Linked DNA regions of Callithrix jacchus. The protein of the gene in region 1 purifies or fractionates together with the protein of each later gene. This does not show direct contact. Links are inferred from orthologs where the notes say so. Each region holds a gene or a part of one and is shown on either strand. Other genes may lie near its edges.

What was found. Proteins that work in one complex are often made in the same cells at the same time.
Region 2: the proteins of CCNA2 (region 1) and CDKN1C purify together in Homo sapiens (affinity purification with mass spectrometry; 3 studies listed by BioGRID and IntAct, counting the BioPlex papers as one, with this or other methods). This does not show direct contact. The link is inferred for Callithrix jacchus from reciprocal best matches to the Homo sapiens genes CCNA2 and CDKN1C.
Region 3: the proteins of CCNA2 (region 1) and CKS2 purify together in Homo sapiens (affinity purification with mass spectrometry; 3 studies listed by BioGRID and IntAct, counting the BioPlex papers as one, with this or other methods). This does not show direct contact. The link is inferred for Callithrix jacchus from reciprocal best matches to the Homo sapiens genes CCNA2 and CKS2.

The regions. Positions count from the first base shown.
Region 1 is NC_133504.1:75,862,375-75,869,609, forward strand, and holds the start of CCNA2 (cyclin-A2), read left to right. Parts: upstream 1-2,450; 5' UTR 2,451-2,701; coding exon 2,702-2,914; intron 2,915-3,681; coding exon 3,682-3,925; intron 3,926-5,308; coding exon 5,309-5,421; intron 5,422-5,615; coding exon 5,616-5,839; intron 5,840-6,805; coding exon 6,806-7,013; intron 7,014-7,235. Other genes in the region: BBSome complex member BBS7, read left to right, coding at 78-211. UniProt on the Homo sapiens protein: Cyclin which controls both the G1/S and the G2/M transition phases of the cell cycle. Functions through the formation of specific serine/threonine protein kinase holoenzyme complexes with the cyclin-dependent protein kinases CDK1 or CDK2.
Region 2 is NC_133511.1:128,972,605-128,979,584, forward strand, and holds CDKN1C (cyclin-dependent kinase inhibitor 1C), read left to right. Parts: upstream 1-2,561; 5' UTR 2,562-2,662; coding exon 2,663-3,602; intron 3,603-4,137; coding exon 4,138-4,268; 3' UTR 4,269-4,273; intron 4,274-4,363; 3' UTR 4,364-5,060; downstream 5,061-6,980. Other genes in the region: uncharacterized protein LOC118145682, read left to right, coding at 1,018-1,155, 1,527-2,264. UniProt on the Homo sapiens protein: Potent tight-binding inhibitor of several G1 cyclin/CDK complexes (cyclin E-CDK2, cyclin D2-CDK4, and cyclin A-CDK2) and, to lesser extent, of the mitotic cyclin B-CDC2. Negative regulator of cell proliferation.
Region 3 is NC_133502.1:73,157,173-73,164,100, forward strand, and holds the start of CKS2 (cyclin-dependent kinases regulatory subunit 2), read left to right. Parts: upstream 1-2,509; 5' UTR 2,510-2,605; coding exon 2,606-2,664; intron 2,665-6,411; coding exon 6,412-6,539; intron 6,540-6,928. UniProt on the Homo sapiens protein: Binds to the catalytic subunit of the cyclin dependent kinases and is essential for their biological function.

The DNA of each region.
Region 1 (7,235 bases):
CAAGCATTTACTTTAATGAAATACTGTCATTAAATAGAACTAATCAGTGACAGGAAATTTACCTTTTTGTTTTATAGGCATGATCACTGATCTTTTCATAGATAAATTTAAGTTCAAAGGCACCAATGTAAAAACTAAAGTACCTCTTCTCCTGGAAATTCTGGACAGTTATGACCAAAATGCATTGATTTCATTCTTTGACACAGCATGAAATACGAATAAGGTAAAGTCCCGAGGAAGTGTTCTGTTTAAATGAAAAATGTTAAAACAGAATTAGAAGTTAACTCTGTACATACTTTAATTTCAAACCCTTTTTTATATCTAAAAATATTTGAGATATAATGGCTTTTTAAAGTAATGCTTCTATTTCTTTTGACAAATGGAACTTTTTAAAACTAGAAGAGTATTTTTATTTTTAAAACACTAGTGGAATGATTTAAATAGGATTTTAATGAATTTTTGGCAAGTGGCTATTTTAATTTTTAAATTGAGAACTAATATGTGGAAAATGAAAATATATTCAAATGTATTATAAGGTATAGAAACACATAAATGTATAAACTGCTTTGTAGGTTTCAGAATGTATTTTTATATATTACCTTATTTGATCTTCACAACTGTTGCATAAGTTTGTCAAATCATATAAGAAAACTGATTCTCACTGAAATCTTGTGATTAAGAGGACATGCTAGTATTTTATATAGCTGGACAAGAACCCAAATCCTGGTACTTCCTTTGTGCTGTCCTGGTTACTATGTATGGTGTCAGCTAGTGGAAAAATCTACCAATTATTTTTTCTAGGAGATAGGATTAATTTGCAACTGATTTCCCTTTTGCTTAGGAATGTTTTAGGACTCCGCTGCAGTTTGTGAAATGCTCGACTTGGCTCAGTGCTATAAATTATAGCCAGGGAAATGAGAGCTTACACAGAGTGGAGGGATCTTAACTAGACATGCTGTAACTATACAAACGTGCTACAGGGGAAGAGTGTAGAAATAGTGATGCCATCTTAGATTTTCCTATACTAGTATCTTCTAGATCTCTTTTTATCATATATGACATTAAGGCTACAGAAGTTTTGTACATTAATCTTAATTCATATTTATTAATTTCAAGGGAATACTGTATTGAAAGGTTTTAAACTAGCAAAAAGATAATGTAAAATATGCTTTATGTTTCGAGAAGAGCTGGCTCACAAATTTTGTAGAAAACAGTGCTTCTTAATGATATGCTATTATACTTATTAGTTACGTGCAAGCTTTTTTTTTTTTTTGAGACGGAGTTTCGCTCTTGTTACCCAGGCTGGGGTGCAATGACGCGATCTCGGCTCACCTCCGCCTCCTGGGTTCAGGCAATTCTCCTGCCTCAACCTCCTGAGTAGCTGGGATTACAGGCACGCGCCACCATGCCCAGCTAATTTTTTGTATTTTTAGTAGAGACGGGGTTTCACCATATTGACCAGGATGGTCTTGATCTCTTGACCTCGTGATCCACCCGCCTCGGTCTCCCAAACTGCTGGGATTACAGGCGTGAGCCACCGCGCCCGGACTAGCTTTTTATATAAATATAAAAATTTGTTAAAGGCACATATACTTAAGACTTGAGTTTTATTTTAACAAGGTCATATTGTTTTTGCTATATTTAGAGAAACTTTACTTCTGAAAGGAACATAATTATATCTAGGTCACTAGAATTTCATTGTTTTTTGTTTGCTGCCACAGCTTGGGGAAAATAGATAAAAATTAATGACTATTTGAATATTTTGTAATGTATTGCTATTTATTATAGATGTAGATATTATTATGTAGTTCAAGGTAGCATCTTAAATTGCATCTTCATTAGGAAAAAAAAAAACAAAAACACAATTTCTGGTTACTGTGAATAAACACCTAAATGTTAAGATGACATTATAGTCTGCTAATTGAGTACTGTATTACTATGTGAGCCCCGTGTTAAATGATTTATGGGCATTATTTAATTCTAACAACCATGACTGTAGATATTATTCCCTATTAACAGATTAAAAAAACAGAGATTTGGAGATATTGAAAAACGTGGCCCAGATTTTAAACCTTGGGAAAAAGTCAGTTAAGCTAACTAGAGATCCCAGAGCTAAAACCTGGGGCAGCCCAAATCATAGTCGCTAAAGTTTAATTCCGTTTAATTCCCTAAAAGGCTTAGGGTCAGCCTCTGGACCGCCTTGCCCTAGGTGGATCAGTTTAAAGTAATCAGAAGCTTGGGCCCTGAGCCCCACTCCCGCACAGGCGTTCTTCCTCCCGCCTCAGCCCTAGGTGGTTTCTCTTTCCTGCCCCTCCCCTGCTCTGTTACCTTTGTGCTTCCTTCACTTGCCTGCGACCCTGTCGCCTCGAATGACGTCAAGGCCGGGGCGCTTTCATTGGTCCATTTCAATAGTCGCGGGATACTTGAACTGCAAGAACAGCCGCCGCTCCGGCGGGCTGCTATCTGTATCTCCGGGCGTCTTTGGCCCGCCACGCCCGGCAGTTCCTGCCTGCACCTTTCACAACCTCCTCGGCCCTGCGTGGTCTCGAGCTGGGTGAGTGGGCGGGCAGGTAGGCTGGCCTGGGCTGTAAGCGGCGCCTACGACTGTTCTTTGGCCGGGTCGGTGCGACCGGTCTGCTGGGCGGAGTGCACGCTGCTTGGCGCCGCAAGCTGATCCCGCCGTCGGCCCCCGGGAACAGTGATGTTGGGCAACTCCGCGCCGGAGCCTGCAGCCCGCGAGGCGGGCTCGGCGCTGCTAGCATTGCAGCAGACGGCGCTCCAAGAGGACCAGGAGAACATCAACCCGGAAAAGGCAGCGCCTATCCAGCCACCGCGGACCCGGGCCGCGCTGGCGGTACTGAAGGCCGGGAACCCCCGGGGTGCATCGCAGCAGCAGAGGCCGAAGACGCGACGGGTAAAAGGATGCGGGTTATCTGCAGGAGGGTGGGTCGAGCAGGGTTTGGCATTGGCTTAGCAGGCAGAGGAGAGTGGCGAGAAGGCATCTCCTAGGCTTTTGGAAGGGGGCCAGGATCTGGTGTCCACTTGGTGTTGGTGTCTGGGATGCCACAATAGGGATTCTTAACATCACGATCCCGCCAACACTGTGTGTATGCTGCCTTTTCTGCTCTCTATAAGGGGCATCTGCTTTACATAATAGGGTCAAACCCAAGCTTTATAACGTGTAAGTCTGCTCAGCTCCTCGCCTTTCTCTCCACTTTTAAACCCCAGGCCCTGCTTTAGGACTTTGCCCCTCTCCCATCTCATGCTGAAGAGATGACCTCTACTTTAGAAAACGGTGTACGAAATACTTTGCTTTTGGCAAATTCCGCCATTTTAGCTGGATTTGCTCTGTTGCTCCACCCTCGGGCGACAGTGGTGAACCAACAACACTTTTTGCCATGTCTTTCCTAAACTTGTCATGTATTGGCCTGCCACCCGACCCTTCTTGTGGCCTTGATTACTTTTGCATAATTCCACCTAGTGTTAACTGTTAGCCTTTGTGGGAATGCCTGTGACAAATGGGAACATCTATTCTCTTTTTGAATACTCAAACTATTCTTTGTCCCAGAAAGTTTAATTCCTGGTAGAGTATTTAGGAGAAAAAGCAAAGCCGACATTCACAAGAGAAAGAATGCAAAACTCAAGTAGGCTCAAAGCCAGTTATTAATTTTTTTTTTTTAGGTTGCACCCCTTAAGGATCTTCCTGTAAATGATGAGCATGTCACCGTTCCTTCTTGGAAAGCAAACAGTAAACAGCCTGCATTCACCATTCATGTGGATGAAGCAGAAGAGGAGACTCATAAGAAGCCAGCTGAATCCCAGAAGGCAGAGCGTGAAGATGTCATGGCTTTTAATTCAGCGGTTAGTTTACCTGGACCCAGAAAACCATTGGTACCTCTTGATTATCCAATGGATGGTAGTTTTGGTAAGTTTTAAGGAAATTGTTAGAGTGATGTCTCATGTAGTCATTTTGACTACAGTGAGTTAAGTTTAATGTAACAAGGCTTAAAAGGGTGTGACTTATCTTGGATCTCACAGCTAACACTTGACCTGGTGTCCTACAAAAAGATCCTAATCCAGTACTCTTTCAGGTTCACTGCCATCATATCAATCTAATTATAATTAGATCTTAAATGCTTATTTTAATCTGATCCCGTAAATGTACTTGGAGAATGGATTTGTTTTATTTAACTCACTTATATATCACTTAGAGTGTGCTATTTGAAGATGCAGTTTTAAATATTGTGATTACATAACATCTCTTGCAGTGTTACAATTTTGTTTATATAAAACCAGTCTGGTTTATCATCTGATACCAGAAAGTGACACTTTCCCTCCTGCAGGTCAACAGTTGTACCATGGCTGTTTGCCCTTACTCATGTATTAAAGTAGCTGCTGTAAACAGCTCTTCGAAGTTTGTATTATTTCTTTGCCCTAGGGATATTGAGTCACTGGACAGCTCACTAAATCAAATTTCATTTTAGTTTTAGTTGTATTGATTGTGGGGGAGGATGAGTGAGCAGAAAAAGTCCGTTGGAAATATTTTGTGTGTTTTTATTAAAATTTTGCAAAATAAGTTTAATTTCAAGGTGATCTTTGATGTGAAAAGAATAATGGATGATACTCTTTGCTTCAAAAGATAATTTACACTACAAAAAATACTTATTTATAGTGTTAATCTGTTTGTCCATAACAAACCTAATTTCTTTTTTTTTTTTTTTTTAAAGATGGGGTTTCACTATATTGGTCAGGCTGGTCTCGAACTCCTGACATCAGGTGATCCACCCGCCTCAGCCTCCCAAAGTGCTGGGATTACAGGCATGAGCCACCTTGCCCAGCAACAAACCTAATTTCTTAATAACACTTGTTAATGGAGACCATTTAACTGATTCCAGCTGTTGTTTAATTGGGCTTTGTATATGTCAGACTCTGGGATTTGCATTAGGGCAAATCTTAGATATTATCTCAAAACTTGGATTTTAAGTGCTCTATCCTGACAGAACCACCATGCCATCTGCTCCTTTCTGTAATGGAAGTTGAATGCTTTAAGATAATATATGATTCTCGTTTTCTTGTTAGGGGCCTACCAATGTATTTTTTTTTTCCTCATTAACTAATGTCATTCCAAAGATATATGTACAGAGATACTAAGACTAGGGTAAAATATTCTACATATTTCATCATGAGAAGCTTTTTAGTTTGATGAAATAAGTGCTTTGCTAATATAAGATTCCTTACAAGGGCAGTCATTTTTAGCTATTAAACTAAATAGACAATTAATTTAATCATATCTTTTGAATTGTCCCAGAGTCACCACATACTATGGACATGTCAATTGTATTAGAAGATGAAAAGCCAGTGAGTGTTAATGAAGTACCAGACTACCATGAGGATATTCACACGTACCTTAGGGAAATGGAGGTAAAAGTTCTCTGAATCCAGTTTGTATAATATATTTGTTAAATGTGGCTAAGTGAAATTAAGAAGATAGTTAAGTTTTTAAACTGCTAATGAATTATTTTAATGATACACTTAAGTTTATAGCATGTAGCCTCTCTTAATTCATGGTAAAATAATCTAATTGCAATTTTAACACTAAATAATTTTCTCAATAGGTTAAATGTAAACCTAAGGTGGGTTACATGAAGAAACAGCCAGACATCACTAACAGTATGAGAGCTATCCTCGTGGACTGGTTAGTTGAAGTAGGAGAAGAATATAAACTACAGAATGAGACCCTGCATTTGGCTGTGAACTACATTGATAGGTTCCTTTCTTCCATGTCCGTGCTGAGAGGAAAGCTTCAGCTTGTGGGCACTGCTGCTATGCTGTTAGCCTCGTAAGTCTACCTAGGTTTGTTTGATTAAAAGTTATCACTACCTTTTGTTTAGGGAAGAAATTGATTTTTAATGGTGACCTTTTAATATTATACCAGGCAGAGAGTCAGTGACTACTTTAAGGGATGGCAGTGTGGTAGGGCTTGGAGTGGAATAGGATGAAACTGTGTTCTAATCTAGAACCCTAATTTTCCCCTATCTTGAATGAACACAGACTGTCTACATTATATATAGTATAGTAGATTACAAATTTTAAAACATTTTCCTTCCAATATTAAAGTACTTTCTGGCATATAAGCAGTGTCTCTTTCATTAAGAAGTAAAGGCCAAGCGTGGTAGCTCACTCCTGTAATCCCAGCAGTTTAGGAGGATGAGATGGGCAGATCACTTGAGGTTAGGAGTTTGAGACCAGCCTGGCCAACATGGCAAAACCCCATTTCTACTGAAAATACAAAAAATTAGCCAGGCATGATAGCATGAACCTGTAATCTGAGCTACTAGGGAGGCAGAGGCAGGAGAATCACTTGAACCCAGGAGGTGGAGGTTGTAGTAAGCTAAGATTGTGCCAGTGTACTCTACCCTGGGTGACAGGAAGACTGTCTCAAAAAAAAGAAAAACTAAATTTAAAAATGAACACATAAAATATGTTTTATTAGGACTTGTATTTCCTAAATTTTCATCTACTTGGTGAACTCTGGCATTGTTCCCATCTTGAGAAGTCTCATGCCTTTCATTTACTTCCTTTGACTGAACTGGGAAAATATCTCAAAAGTGCCTCGTTGATTTGGGCCTTTTAATTACTATTTAGCTTTCCAGTCTCTGCTAGAAATGATGATCAAGTGTCTGGAACTGCAGTTGGTATGGGTTTTGGATTCATTCCATATATTCTGCTAATGGGATTTCAGAATTGGGATAAGGAAGCTTGCTTCTCTTTTAGGACTGATTACTTAAAACTTTTTTCATTGTAGAAAGTTTGAAGAAATATACCCCCCAGAAGTAGCAGAGTTTGTGTACATTACAGATGATACCTACACCAAGAAACAAGTTCTGAGAATGGAGCATCTAGTTTTGAAAGTCCTTACTTTTGACTTAGCTGCTCCAACAGTAAATCAGTTTCTTACCCAATACTTTCTGCATCAGCAGCCTGCAAACTGCAAAGTTGAAAGTTTAGCAATGGTGAGTTAACTTTCATTTTGAATGGCGATTCTTAGGTAATAATTAGGGGCAGGTCTTACTTAGTTCCTTTGTACAGTAGCGGGGAAGAGATTTAGTATTCAGAGGGAGATTGATACTGCAGTATGGAAGAAAGCCTACTGCTGGCAAAAGATAATCTATATCAGGAAAGCACTAGAACTAGAGGTATAAGGATGAGGTCTTGGGAATGGGTAGTCAGAATAG
Region 2 (6,980 bases), on another chromosome or scaffold:
AATAGAGCTTGATTGTTGCACCCAGACAGATGTTTGCTTCCGGGCCCTTTGGGTTGGAGGACTGGGCCCCCTCGCAGAGCCTGGAACTCCCAGCCCCCAGCTCCTGGGGTGCCTTCCTCCAGGTGTGTCCCTGGCTTGGGCTGGCGGGCGCAGTCCCCACTCCTGGGATGTGCAGTTTTAATAAGCTACTGGGTACCACCCTTGATTGAATTCAGAGTGACAGACTTAGAGCAGGTCACCTCTCGACTTCTAATGAGGCCAAGACGGGAGGAGTCCCCACAGCCCCGAGTTTGACTCTGTAATTAAGCTGGTAAAGTGGAAAAATAAAAGTAGGGAACCTAAGTGGAGAGCAAACCAGAAAGCCAGGCAGCCGGAGCTTCCGAGCCCGCTTTCTCCCAGCTGTGCGGCCTCGGGGCCCACGACGTCTCTGCTACTTTTGCTGCTTTTCTATAACACAGGGTGAGGCAGCTACACCCTCCGAGGGGTGTCACTAGGGCCAATGGGTCCGGATGTTTGGAGTGTGGGTGTCTGAGGGCCACTAGGTCACTACCCACTCTGGCCCTTTGCTCCTAGTCTCTGGGGAGGCCCTGGCACAGGGCAGGGGTGACTAGACCCTGCCTCTTTCTGCTCCCAGACCAGTTGATATGAGTCCTGCTTGAGGGGTTCGCAGGGCCTCTGGAGCCTTCTTCAGCTTCTCTTTGTTTTCCTAAGATAAAAATTGTCACATCTGTGCTTGTTGTGGGAAACTTGAAAAATAGTGCACAGAGAAGAATATGAAATCGACATAAATCCCTGCATGTGGTTCATCAAGGGCCCTGGCCCCTCTCCTGGGTCAACGCCCTGTCCGGGACAGCTCTCCCCTCACTTTAGATCTCACTTCCCCAGACCCAGAAGACCCACCCTGCTCCCCCAGTGGCATCTGCACGCTGTCACGGCATTTCACAGGGGCTGGGGTGTCTTGGGACTCAGAGGCAGGCTGCTGGGGGTTCAGGGGACCTTGCCGTCCCTCCCTCCCAGATGTCTCTGGCTGCTCACAGGTTCACTGGAGACAGGGGCTCAGAGCTCCCAGACTGCTGGACCCTCCAACAGGTGTCTGACAGTCCCCCTCCCGACCTGGGTGGCTCCCAGTTTAAGGAGGGGGCTCCCTGCCTCATGGTAAGTGAGGCAAAGCGGAGACAGCGGGAAAGAATGGTCTCTCTGGGTCTGGTCTGGCTGGGGTGAAGCAGTGTGTGTGTGTGTGTGTGTGTGTGTTTGTGTGTGTGTGTGCGCGCGCGCTTGCACGACCAAGGTCTGTACCAGGAAGGGCTGCAGGTGGGGGAGGGGCATGGTCCTTCTCAGCCCCTTCCCCTATGACCTCAGGCAGATCTTTCACTTTTACCCAGTACAGCAGCCTCCAAGCAGCCTGAACAGGCCGATCCCGGGGCTGGGGTGGCCTGGCCCAAGGCTGAGGGGGGCCGGGACCCCCGACAGTGACATGATGGGCGCAGCCCAGTTTGGGCTAAGCCTGTGTTCCATCTACTGGGCAGGGTAGGCCTCCGCAGATGGCGGCTTCTCTCTCCAGCCCCAGGGGGCTGCTGGGCGCCTCTCCAAGTGTCCTACACATGGTCCCTCCGGGAAAGAGTGGAGCTGACCCCGTCCCCCCTTCCCGACTCGAGGGCCTTCGGGCCGGCAGGTGTGTGAGGGCTCCAGGTGCGCGGACCCTTCGAAGGGACACAACCCAGCAGCCGCAGCAGGCCGCGCGGGGGCAGCCGAAGACCCCGTCCGGCGCAGGCCGGGGCCGAGCTGGCAGCGGCGGGTCCAAGTCCCGTCAGCCGGCGCAGGAGGCCCAGGGGCGAGCACGGGACGGGGCTGGGCGCCGGGGTCCGGACCGGGCCGGGGTCGCGCGGGGCCTGGCCGGACACCGGACCCGCCGGGAGCCGGCCCCTGCCGCGCTGGACCGAGGCCCCCGCCTGCAGACAAAGGAGCCGGCGGGGGGCGGGAGCCGGGGGGGGGGGGGCAGCGGGGGGGATGGGGCGAGGGGGCGGGGCGTCGCGGTGTCACGTTACCGCCCGCAGCGCCCTTTAACTCCCGCCCCCGCCCCGCTCACCGCCCCCTTCCCCTGCTACAGCGCGCTCACCCCGCGGCCGCCAATCAGCCGCGCGCCCCGGCCGCGCGCCCCGCCTCGCCCTCGGTGGGTGTGCTCGCGGCCAATGGGCGGCGCGCGGGGGCGGGGCCGCGAAGGGGCGGGGCGGCGGGGCGGGGGCCAATCGCCGCGGTGTTGTTGAAACTGAAAATACTACATTATGCTAATCGCGGCCGGGCCCGCGCGCACGGGGGTGGGGCCCGCGCGTATAAAGCGGGCGCAGGCGGGCTGGGCGTTCCACAGGCCAAGTGCGCTGTGCTCGAGGGGTGCCAGCCAGGCCCGAGCAGCGAGCGAGCCAGCAGGCATCGAGGGGGCGCGGTTGCCGGCCCGACCAGACCAGCGAATTCCACGCAGGAGAGTGTTCGACCCGACCGCCAGGTAGCCGCCGCGCCCGCCCTTCCGCCGCGTCCCCCGCACACGCGGCGTCGGGCTGCGCGGGGTCTCCCTCGCGCCCGGCCTCCGCCCTCTCCTCCTGTCCTCTTCCCCCTCTTCTCGCTGTCCTCTCCTCTCCCGCTGCCCGCGATCGCGCAGTCCCGGGCCATGTCCGACGCGTCCCTCCGCAGCACATCCGTGATGGAGCGTCTTGTCGCCCGTGGGACCTTCCCAGTACTTGTGCGCACCAGCGCCTGCCGCAGCCTCTTCGGCCCGGTGGACCACGAGGAGCTGAGCCGCGAGCTGCAGGCCCGCCTGGCCGAGCTGAACGCCGAGGACCAGAATCGCTGGGACTACGACTTCCAGCAGGACATGCCGCTGCGGGGCCCCGGACGCCTGCAGTGGACCGAAGTGGACAGCGAGTCGGTGCCCGCGTTCTACCGCGAGACGGTGCAGGTGGGGCGCTGCCGCCTGCTGCTGGCGCCGCGGCCCGTCGCGGTCGCGGTGGCTGTCAGCCCGCCCCTCGAGCCGGACGCTGAGTCCCTCGACGGCCTCGAGGAGGCGCCGGAGCAGCTGCCTAATGTCCCGGTCCCGGCCCCGGCGTCCACCCCGCCCCCAGCCCCAGTCCTGGCTCCGGCCCCGGTCGCGGTTCCGGACGTGGCTCCGGTCGTGGCTCCGGGTCTGATCCCGGCTCAGATCCCGGCTCCGGTCCCGGCTCCAGTCGTGGCTCCGGGTCTGATCGCAGGTCCGGTCGCGGCCCCGGTCGTGGCCCCGGTCTTGGCCCCGGTCGTGGCCCCGGCTCCGGTTCTGGCTCCGGTTCTGGCTCCGGCCCCGGCTCCGGTCGCGGCCCCAGCCCCGGCCCCGGCCCCGGTCCCAGCTCCGGTCCCGGTTCCGGGCCCGGCCTTGGCTCCGGCCCCCGCCCCGGGCCCGGCCCCGGACGCGGCTCCTCAAGAGAGTGCCGAGCAGGGCGCGAACCAGGGGCAGCGCGGCCAGGAGCCTCTCGCTGACCAGCTGCACTCGGGGATTTCGGGACGTCCAGCGGCCGGCACCGCTGCTGCCAGCGCCAACGGCGCGGCGATCAAGAAGCTGTCCGGGCCTCTGATCTCCGGTGAGCCCCGCACGGCCCCGCCCCGGCCCGGCCCGGCCCCGCTTTGTCCCGCCGGCCGGTCTCCCCAGCCCTCGGGGGGCCTCGCTGGGTTCCCGCCTCCTCCCGTGGCATTAAAGGGCCCGCAGCGCTCAGGGCGCGGCTGCGCCCTCACCCCCCTCCCTGCCCCGTGGTCGTGCCCTCGAGCGGCTTGCGCGGGCGGGGTGGGAGGAGGAGCCCCGGCGGCGACCCCCCGGGAGCGCAGCCTTCACCCCCGGCCACAGGAGACCCTCCCCGGGCGCCGCCGGGCGTCGTGATCGCGGCGCGGAGGGGGTTAAGCGCAGCGGCGGCCCCGGGGGGCTTGGCCGCGGGACAAGGGGAAATGCTTACACAGCACATTGCGCGGCGACGTAAACAAAGCTGACCCGCCGCAGACCTCGGCGCGGGCAGGGACGGCGCCCCCACCCCGGCCAGCCCGCGCCCCAAGCCCTCTCCCGGCCCCCTCTTGGGTCTCTCGGCCGGCCCCGCCCTGACCGGCCGTGCGCGCTGTCGCCCGCAGATTTCTTCGCCAAGCGCAAGAGATCTGCGCCTGAGAAGGCGTCGGGAGAGGTCCCCCCGCCGTGTCCCGCTCCCAGCGGCGCCCCCGGCGTGGGCTCGGTGGAGCAGACCCCGCGCAAGAGGCTGCGGTGAGCCAAGTGAGTACGGCGCACCTGGGGGGCGCGGGGGGCCTTCCTGCGGGGTGCTCTCGGACTTTGCTGACCTCCCCTCTCTCCCCCGCTCCGCAGTTTAGAGCCCAAAGAGCCCCGAGGGAACCTGCCGGGGCAGCGGACGTTGGAAGGGCGCTGGGGCCTCGGCTGGGACCGTTCATGTAGCAGCAACCGGCGGCGGCTGCCGCAGAGCAGCGTTCGGTGTTTAAATTCTGAAAACTGTGCAATGTATTGATTACGTCTTTTTATATCTAAATGTATTCTGCACGAGAAGGTACACTGGTCCCAAGGTGTAAAGCTTTAAGAGTCATTTATATAAAATGTTTAATCTCTGCTGAAACTCAGTGCAAAAAAAAAGAAAAAAGTAAAAAAAAAGTAAAAAATAAAAAAAACCATGTATATTTGTACAAAAAGTTTTTAAAGTTATACTAACTTATATTTTCTATTTATGTCCAGGCGTGGACCGCTCTGCCACGCACTAGCTCGGTTATTGGTTATGCCAAAGGCACCTCCACCTCCCACATCGTCCCGTTATTGACAAGTGTATAACTTTATTCTCATAGCGGACTCTGGGGAAAGGGGTCACTCACAAGCTGTAGCTGCCATCACGCCCACCTAGCTTGCATTCTCTTCGCGCTTTCGCTCTCTCTTACTATTACTGTGTTTATCTTAAACTTGAAGACAAATCTGTTAAAATGGTTCCTGAGCCGACTGTACCACTGCCCCGGCCCCTCGTCCGCCGGGTTCTAAATAAAGAGGCCGAAAGATGCTGCAACTCCAGTCTGTTTGTGCTTGTGCCTGCCTCCTGCACCCCCAAAGCTGGAGAGCTAGAACGCAGGAGAGAGCAGGCCAAAGTGGCCATCCCCAGTCCAAAAGGGGAAGCCTCTCTCCCGGCTGGGCCTGGCCCACTCCCGCCTGCTCCAGTCACCTTATCTCAGGAGGGGCAGCTGGCCGGCACTGCACCCCACATTTATCACCTTCCACCTTCGGGGCTGCAGAAAGACAAGTGTGGGCTTCACGTAGCCCCAGCAGGCAGGCAGCACAGCCCCTGACTTGCTGCCCAGACCCAGGCTTGTTTCAAGGAAACCATGGGCAACCCCTCTGCCCCCGATGATGGGCTCAGGCCCCTGCTAGTTCGAGGATGCACAGGGGTGTGGGGTGGGGAGCAGGGCTCCGCCAATGCACGTCGTCCCTCCAGACTTCTTCAGGCCTCGCACCAGGGTCTCCCTAGGTCTTGCCACAAGACAGCCAGAGTGTTCAAGGTCTATTCACACCTGCAGTGGAGGAGGGATGGCCTCGAAGCCTCTGAGGGGAGGGAGAAGTGGGAGGACAAGGGGGGCACCCTGGAACCAGGAGGGCTTGGGGATAGGTGGCTTCTGATGCCCAGGCTTTGGTGGAAGAAGTGGAGGCTGTGTGCACCCCCTGCACCCACACTGTCTGCCCCAGCAGCCCACTAGTTTCAAAGCCCTCTCTTAGTAAGAGACTTTTTTATTTTAATAGCTGACCTATAAACCTCTGAAAATTATGGCTTACAATGGAAAGGGTGACGTAAAACAGCAAAAACAGAACGGCTAGCAGTATTTTTGCTGGTGCCTTGGCCCAGGGGAAGAGAACTGGTGGACTCTTATGGAGCCCTACGTGACAGTTGCTGACTCCCCCCAACCCCCTCCCCTCTGTGTCAGGGACAAAGAGGGGCCGGACTCGAGATGCTGGAGACGTATTTAGACATAGAATTAACTGAGCCTCCCCGAGCTGCCTGGAAGGGCTGGGCGAGGAGGGCAATGGGGCTGGCCTTGAGGCCCAGCTGGGGCCAGACTCTGGGAAATGCCCCCGGGCCCCGAGAGTGGCAGGCCCTGCTGTTTCCGCTCGGCAACAGGGACTTTCAGCTGATAACGGGACCAGGCCACGCAGACCTGACTTCAGCCTTCAGACCTCTCCTCTCAGGAAGAAACCACCGCTTTCACCTGTATGAGCAGGACAAAGCCCTTTCCCTTCTGAGATAAAGGAGGGTAGCAGTGTCTTCTGCCCTGGGCTGGGAGGGGGCTGGACTGGGTGCCTGGCAGGCAGTTTGGTGGGCGTACAAGGTGACCTGAGTTAATTGTTTTTGGTGATCAAGCTGCTGGGGTGAGCCCTCAGCATCCACAGCCACGTCTAATGCCGGGTCTCCTGCCGTAGGCTGGGCCGAGGGGCGTCTACCTTGCTTGGCTTCTCACAGTCCTGGACCCTGGGCACGGGACATGTAACTACTACCCTAGTGTCACTCAAGGGTAGCTTTCTCAAAATCAGTGTGAGGGCTTTGTGAGGACATGAAGGTGAGGCCCAGTGACATTTCTCAGGAGGAGTTTCTCCCCAGGGCAGGAGCTGGCTGCAGGGACCCACAAGCCACCCTCCATGGGCTGCTAGTCACATGTGTGACTCTGGACACTGTGACCCAGGCAAGCCGGCCTTTCCTTCTGGGGGCCTCAGTTTCCCCATCTGGGTTGAGAGAGGCGTAGAGTTCTTTCCCGTGCTGTGTCCTGTGATTCTCATGTGGGGACAGCCATGGAAATAATACCCAATGGCACTGTTTGCAAAGCCCTCTTCTCAACCTGTGCTGTTGGAAGAGCAGCTATGAGCGTGCATCCCGGCCCCCAGGCCTCATCCAAGTTGAAAACACAGGCACTGGGTCTGTGTTTTCCACTGGCGGCCAGAACAC
Region 3 (6,928 bases), on another chromosome or scaffold:
GAGTCCGCAGTGCAAAGTGAAAGTAAGTTTATTTAAAAACTAAAGGAATAAAAGGATAGCTACTCCATAGACCCCTAAGGGTTGCTGGTTGCCCATTTTTATGGTTATTTCTTGATGATACATTAAAGAAGGGGGGGATTATTCATGCTTCTCCTTTTTAGACCATATAGGGAAACTTCCTGAAGTTGCCAAGCCATTTGTAAACTGTCATGGCACTGGTGGGAGTGCAGCAATAAGGACGACCAGAGGTCACTCTCATCGCCATCTTGGTTTTGGTGGGTTTTGGCTGGCTCCTTTACTGTAACCTGTTTTATCAGCAAGGTCTTTATGACCTGTATTTTGTGCTGACCTCCTATTTCATCCTTGAGTTAGAAGGCCTTAACCGTCTAGGAATGCAGCCCAATAGGTTTTAGCCTCATCTTACCCAGCTCCTGTTTGAGACGGAGTTGCTCTGGTTCACATGCCTATGACAATCCCAGCACTTTGGGAGGCCAAGGTGGGCGGATCACTTGGGGATGGGAGTTTGAGACCACCCTGACCAACGTGGCAAAACCCCGTCTCTGCTAAAAATACAAAAACTAGCTGGGCATGTTGGTAGGGGCCTGTAATCCCAGCTGCTCAGAAGGCTGAGGCAGGAGAAGGGCTTGAAGGCAGAGGTTGCAGTTAGCTGAGATTGTACCACTGCACTCCAGCCTGGGAAACAAAGTGAGACTGGCTCCAAAAAAAAAAAAATAGAAATTTCAAACACCCTCTTCCCACAATTATTGTATTAGGAAGTTAGGAGGTGGGGCGTTTGGGAGGTAATCAAGATGAGAGTGGGGCTCTCAGGATCCAGATTATAAATAGCCTTAGAGGGCCTGCTTCCTCACTTGTTCAAAAACCTGTCTGTGATCTGCCGTGTGGAAAAGGGCTCCCACAAAGCCCTCTCCTCGCTGGCTCCCAAACCTCCCACTTCCAGCATCTAGTCTGGGGGACTTCATCTATGCCACCAGTCTATGTCTCTTTAGTCACAGTCGCCCTGAACCCATTAGCATAAAATGAAATTAATATAAAAATGGCACGTGTTCATTGTGGAAAATGTGAAAAATACCAGAAAGATCACTTTCAATTCTGTCATCTAAAAACAACCACTACTTACATCTTGGCATAAGTTTCTTCCAGTAACTTTCTTTTCTATAAACGTGCTTTTTTTTCTGTTTGTTTTTGTTTTGATACATAGTTTAGCTCTTGTTGCCCAGGCTGGAGAGAAATGGCGCGATCTCAGCTCACCACTTCCGCCTCCCACGTTCAAGAGATTCTCCTGCCTCAGCCATCCGAGTAGCTGGGGTTACAAGTTTGAGCCACCATGCCCAGCTAATTTTGGATTTTTAATAGACACGGGTTTTCTCCATGTTGGTCATGCTGGTCCTGCACTCCCTACCTCAAGTGATCCACCCACATTGGCCTCCCAGAGTACTGGGATTACAGGTGTGAGCCACCACGCCCAGTCGAACATGTGTTTTTAAACTAGGATCAATATTAAGAAACCAAAAGTTTTTAAACATCATTTTTAATCCCCTTACCCAGGAATTATTTAGCACTGTTATTCTTGGCCACCGCAGAACATTATTTTATTTCCTCAAGCTTTCCATGGCTTGGGTCTGCCCCGGTTTTGAACAGTAGATTAGGCTACAGAAAGCATGCTGGGTCTCACGCCCATCTCTTTTTTCTTTACTTAAAGACCGGGTCTCGCTCTGTTGCCCAGGCCTGTCTGGAACTCCTGGGATCAAGCGACCCTCCGCTCGGCCTCCCGAGTGGCTGGGACCACTGGCGCTTGCCGCCACTACGCGTGGCTCCATTCCCCACACACTCGCCTGGGGCGTGCTAGGAGCCCCGGACTGGCCAGGCCGGAACCTCAGCAAGTGCAGGGGAGGCGGAACGGCTGCGCGGGACACAGCCACGCTGTGGCCGCCGGCGCTCCCCTCACCGATCAGACACCGCAGCCGCCCTCCCCTCACACCGCAGAGCCTTTCTGTTTTCTACTACTTTTCAAAGTGGACCGAGGCTTCTGGCTCCAGCCTGAGGGGATATAAGGCGCACGAAGAGCGCCGAAACCGAGCTAGACAGCTTCCGTTCAAAGCTTTGTGGCCCGCGCTTCCGGCCTCGACCGACTGCGTCATCACCAAACCCCGTGATACTTTACTCAACCCTCATGTCCTCCGCTCCAACCGTTCCGTGTCCTGGAACATTCCACGGTCCTGCGCACGGGCTCTACCGCCCTTAACGTCCCGACTCCGCCCTCCTCTGGCCACGCCCCTACCCGTCCAACGTGCCGTACCTATTCTCCAATTCTTCCAACTGCAACCTCGCAACAGGTCTCTAATTGGCTGATCCGGGAAGCCGAAACCGCGAGGTGGCGGCGACGATAGGCTGGTAGCCGGTTGACTTCCGCAGAAGGTGATTGGCCGGCGCTGCTGTCCAATCGGCGGCGGGCTGTCGGATTCAAATCGGGATCGTTGGGACTGCGGTCGTTAGTCTCTAGCGAGTCGTTGCGTTGAGCAGACGTGTGCGAGTTGTCTGCTGTTCCCGCTTCGTGCTCTCTCATTTCCATCAGCCCGCCGGCAGGATGGCCCACAAGCAGATCTACTACTCGGACAAGTACTTCGACGAGCACTACGAGTACCGGTGAGCGGCTTTCTCCGACCCCGAGCCGGCTCCCTTAGCCGGGGCCCCCCGCGGGCGGGGCGACCAAAGCCGAAGAGGGAGTGGGGGCCAGGGGCCTGGGGGCGGAGCCCGGAGCCGGAGGGCTAGGGATGGGGTTGGTGGTCGCTGCCTCCTGTTGCTCCCGGCAGTCCGCCGAAGTTGGGTGCGCGGCCGCACCCGGCCGGTTGGGCCTTTGTTAGGTGTACGCGGAGGGTGAGGGAAGAGCGCGCAGCGGGCGGCGTTTAGGAACCAGCGCAACTTGAGGGGCCCGGGGTCCTGGGCGACGCCGAGTGACCGTGCGGTCCTTCTCCTCTCGGCTGTGGCAGAAGAAATTAGACCGTTTAGTAACTGGTCTCAGTTCCAGCTCTTTGAACCAGACCCGGAAAACCCACCTAGAGCCGTCGTTTTCCGTTCGCAGCCATGTCGCACACCTCTCCCGCTTCGCTGCCTGGGTGATGGAACTTTTACTAGTTTCTGGTTTACAGTGGTAATTTTCATCTGTTAGCATAGAGGAACACACCTCATTTTCTTGTTTTTGGAGTGAGTGGTACTCACTAAAAACAAGAAAATGTTTTTTCATTTTTAGGGGAACCCCGAAAAATAATGAGCTTGATGGGGATTTGAAAATGTTTATTGGGTATGGTGATTTAGGCCATTATAGGTTAGCCGCAGACATACAATTGAGGACATTATTAAAGGAGTTTCATTTTAAGGCCGATTAAGAGCTTGAGTGGACTTTGGGCATTATTTTCTGCTAGTGTACACTGGCCAAATTTTTGGCTTCGAGGAACTTTTGCATTTGAGTCCTGAAGCGATGTACTAGAACGTAGTGGTTATAATCGATCCGTAAAATTAGACAAATTTTAAATGTTTCTGGGAGAAGGGGTTAGGGACATTTAAAATTTGTTGTCCTTATTGTATTCGGGACACTCATTTAGGGCGTGGCTTCAAAGACCAGTCAACCCCTTGTCCTACTAGGTAGTGACTAGAACGTTGTATTCTGGGATACTACCAGGATTTAGGGGAGGTAAAGCCCATGCCATCGTTGGCCAAATTTCGACCTTATTTTCTGTCTGCTGCCCTTGTAGGTTCGATTTCTACGAATGCTATTTAAGGAAGAAATAAAACAGCAGTGGGTGGCTTCTCTTTTTCTCCCCCTCCCTACAAGCATGGAAGTCTGTTTTCACATAAGGAATACTGAAGATTTCTATGGGTAGTAATAATTGCACCCTTTTGTATTCCTAACTAGAAAAATCTCATGTTTTTTCTGGCTGTAGGTAAATTTCAAGTAGATTGTCTTAACCTTGTAGTAATACTAAACTATACAGTTTTAATCATGTAATATGCTGGCCTAGTGTTCAATTATGTGATGTTAAGAGCCTTATTGAGGATCGTTAATAATGAACGCAATGTAAAACCATAACCTTACTAAAACCTGGAAAATTATTCTGAAACGCATCTAGTGCCAAGTGTTTAGGATAAGGATTTAAAAGTTGGTATGAGTTTCTTTTAGGGCATATTGAAAATCAAGCGATTTCTCAGACTTCTTTCTGATGGCAGTAAGTCCATATTTTAGTTTTAATATACTCAGCTGATTTGTTTGTGGAATGTATAGAAGCAAGTTTACATATCTGAAGTGATTTATTTTAATCCAATAAAAATTAGAGCTGGTATTAAATGACCAAGCCACTAACCTTTATGAAACAGGATAGTAATCTCCACAAATAAAGGGGAAACTAGTGATAATATAACACTAAGGCATGAATCTAGGGTGGTTTGTATTAATATATAATGGGGCAGCATGCAATGTATATTTCAAAGGATAGTATTTTTGCCAGTGTGCAGTTTTCTTTGATTTTTCTTGATTACAAAATTAATTTCCTAGTCCTTTTACATGAGGGTCTTATGTTTCTAAGGGCATGTAACAGTGGGTGCCCCCACCCCCACATCATGGAAGTCTGTTTTTACAGGCAAAGAACTGAGGATTTCTCTGGGAAGCTTTATAAATTTAGCACTGTTTTGCATGTCGACTGAAATAAACGTTAGATTTTTTGAAATAATTGTCCTTACGTGTAGTTAGTTTGCAAACTATCTCTATGGCAAAATACAGTTAGAATCCTCATATGGGCTGGATGCTACTTAAACATTTTTCCTTTAAAAAGAAACGCTGATGGAGGAGAGCATGTTTCTGTGTTTATGGAGAAAAGCGTGGTAATTTCTATCTAAATAACTTGTTGGTAGATTTACTTACTCTGTAAATCTGAAAGAAAAGGTACAAAAGCACTATATTTCTCTTTGAGAATAATCAATATAGAAGATAGAAATAAGATAACAGATTTATTTGTAGAGCTTTAAAAGTTAGATGTTAAAGCAGCATTTCAAGAATGTGGGTGATAACTGGTAAGAACTACTAAAAGTCACCATATAGTTCACTGGAATTGGTAAAAACTGTACAAATTATGGTAGTAACCTATGACTTGGTGGCTTTAAGGCAATCGAACAACATAATAGAATTTTTCTGAGGCCCACTTTGCCCTGCAAATAAATTGGTACTTAAATAACCAGCCACAGACTAAATTTAAGTTGATGATGGCTTGGTGCTTATAATGGGTTAGGCATTCAGTTTACTGTGTCTGAATGTGACCATATTGCACCTCATTCATTGCTAGCCAGCTGACTCAGACAGATATCTTAACACTGGTAAAAAATTTGGGCTCGTGGTTATAAAGTATAAAACAGTTAAAAACTGTTACTACTTCTGGAGATGGTCGATATGGGGCCGAGAATTGTGACTTTATTTATAAAGTCCTTTTTAATGATAATTGAGTAAAAATTCTTATTCAATTTGAAAAGATTCATTTGGCAAATCTTTGACAAAATGCTGTGGGATGCTATTAACAATGATTTGTTTTTGAGAATTTCATAAGGCTACAATTGTACATATTGATGGTTTAACTTTGAAGGTTATTCCATGCTTGCCTAAGAAACTGAACAATGTAAATTTTGGATATAAGTCAGTAAGTTAACTGGAAAACTGAGGTTGCAAACAATGTGTATGTGCAGTTAGTGGTTTTCTGTTTTTAATATTGTATAAAGCAACTTCTGGAGCATACAAGGACTAGTAGCTACTACAAAGCTATGTTGAGTAAGAGGAAACCCAAATTAACTGTAACAGACTTTTTCCTTACATAAAAATCTAATAATGTGGGGCAGGGATAACAGCTCTACAGCCAGGGACTAGGCTGGATCCTTACCTCGTTGCTTTACCATTCTCAATTTACAGTGGCTTCTATGGTCCTGGATTCCTGCTCTGGCTCCCTTATCATATTAATGTGCATTCAACAAGAAGGAAAAAGAGTTCAGCATGTTCTTTACCTTTGAGAACACTTTCCACATAAGTTAAATATTTTCTTACATCTTGTTGGCTTATGACTTGGCGGCTGGTAACCATATGCTCAGCTTATATTTTGAGGTTCTATTCCTGAAGATTAAGGAAACTAGTAAGCATTCTGTTAAGAGAAAATAATTAATCCTAAGGAAAATGCCTTCTGCTTTTGAATTGTGCACTCTTAGCTCCCTAATTTGAACACAGGCCATCACAAATTAGAATTATAGGTAGTAGAGTGTAGTTCTCAATATTAAAGCAACATAGAGTTGCTAAAGGTACATGTATAAAGAGACAATTGTAGACAAGGAACTGGACTAATACTTGACTATATCTTTTAACAGGCATGTTATGTTACCCAGAGAACTTTCCAAACAAGTACCTAAAACTCATCTGATGTCTGAAGAGGAGTGGAGGAGACTTGGTGTCCAACAGAGTCTAGGCTGGGTTCATTACATGATTCATGAGCCAGGTAAGCTTTGCTATATTATAGTAAAAGCACTAATTGTTGAAATATTGGTATGGCTATCAGAATTTTTAAAATATTGACGTTGAATGATACCTCAAAGTAACTCTTCTGATTGATGGTTCTTTGGGTTTATTTTTATTTTTATTTTTTTGAGACGGAGTCTTGTTCTGTCTCCGAGGCTGGAGTGCAGTGGCACAATCTTGGCTCACTGTAATCTCCGCCTCCTGGGTTCAAGTGATTGTCCTACCTCAGCCTCCCGAGTAGTAGCTGGGACTATAGGTAAGTGCTGCCACGCCCGGCTAATTTTTTTTTTTTTTTTTGTATTTTTAGTAGAGATGGGATTTTACTGTGTTGACCAGGATGGTCTTGATCTCCTGACCTCTTGATCTGTC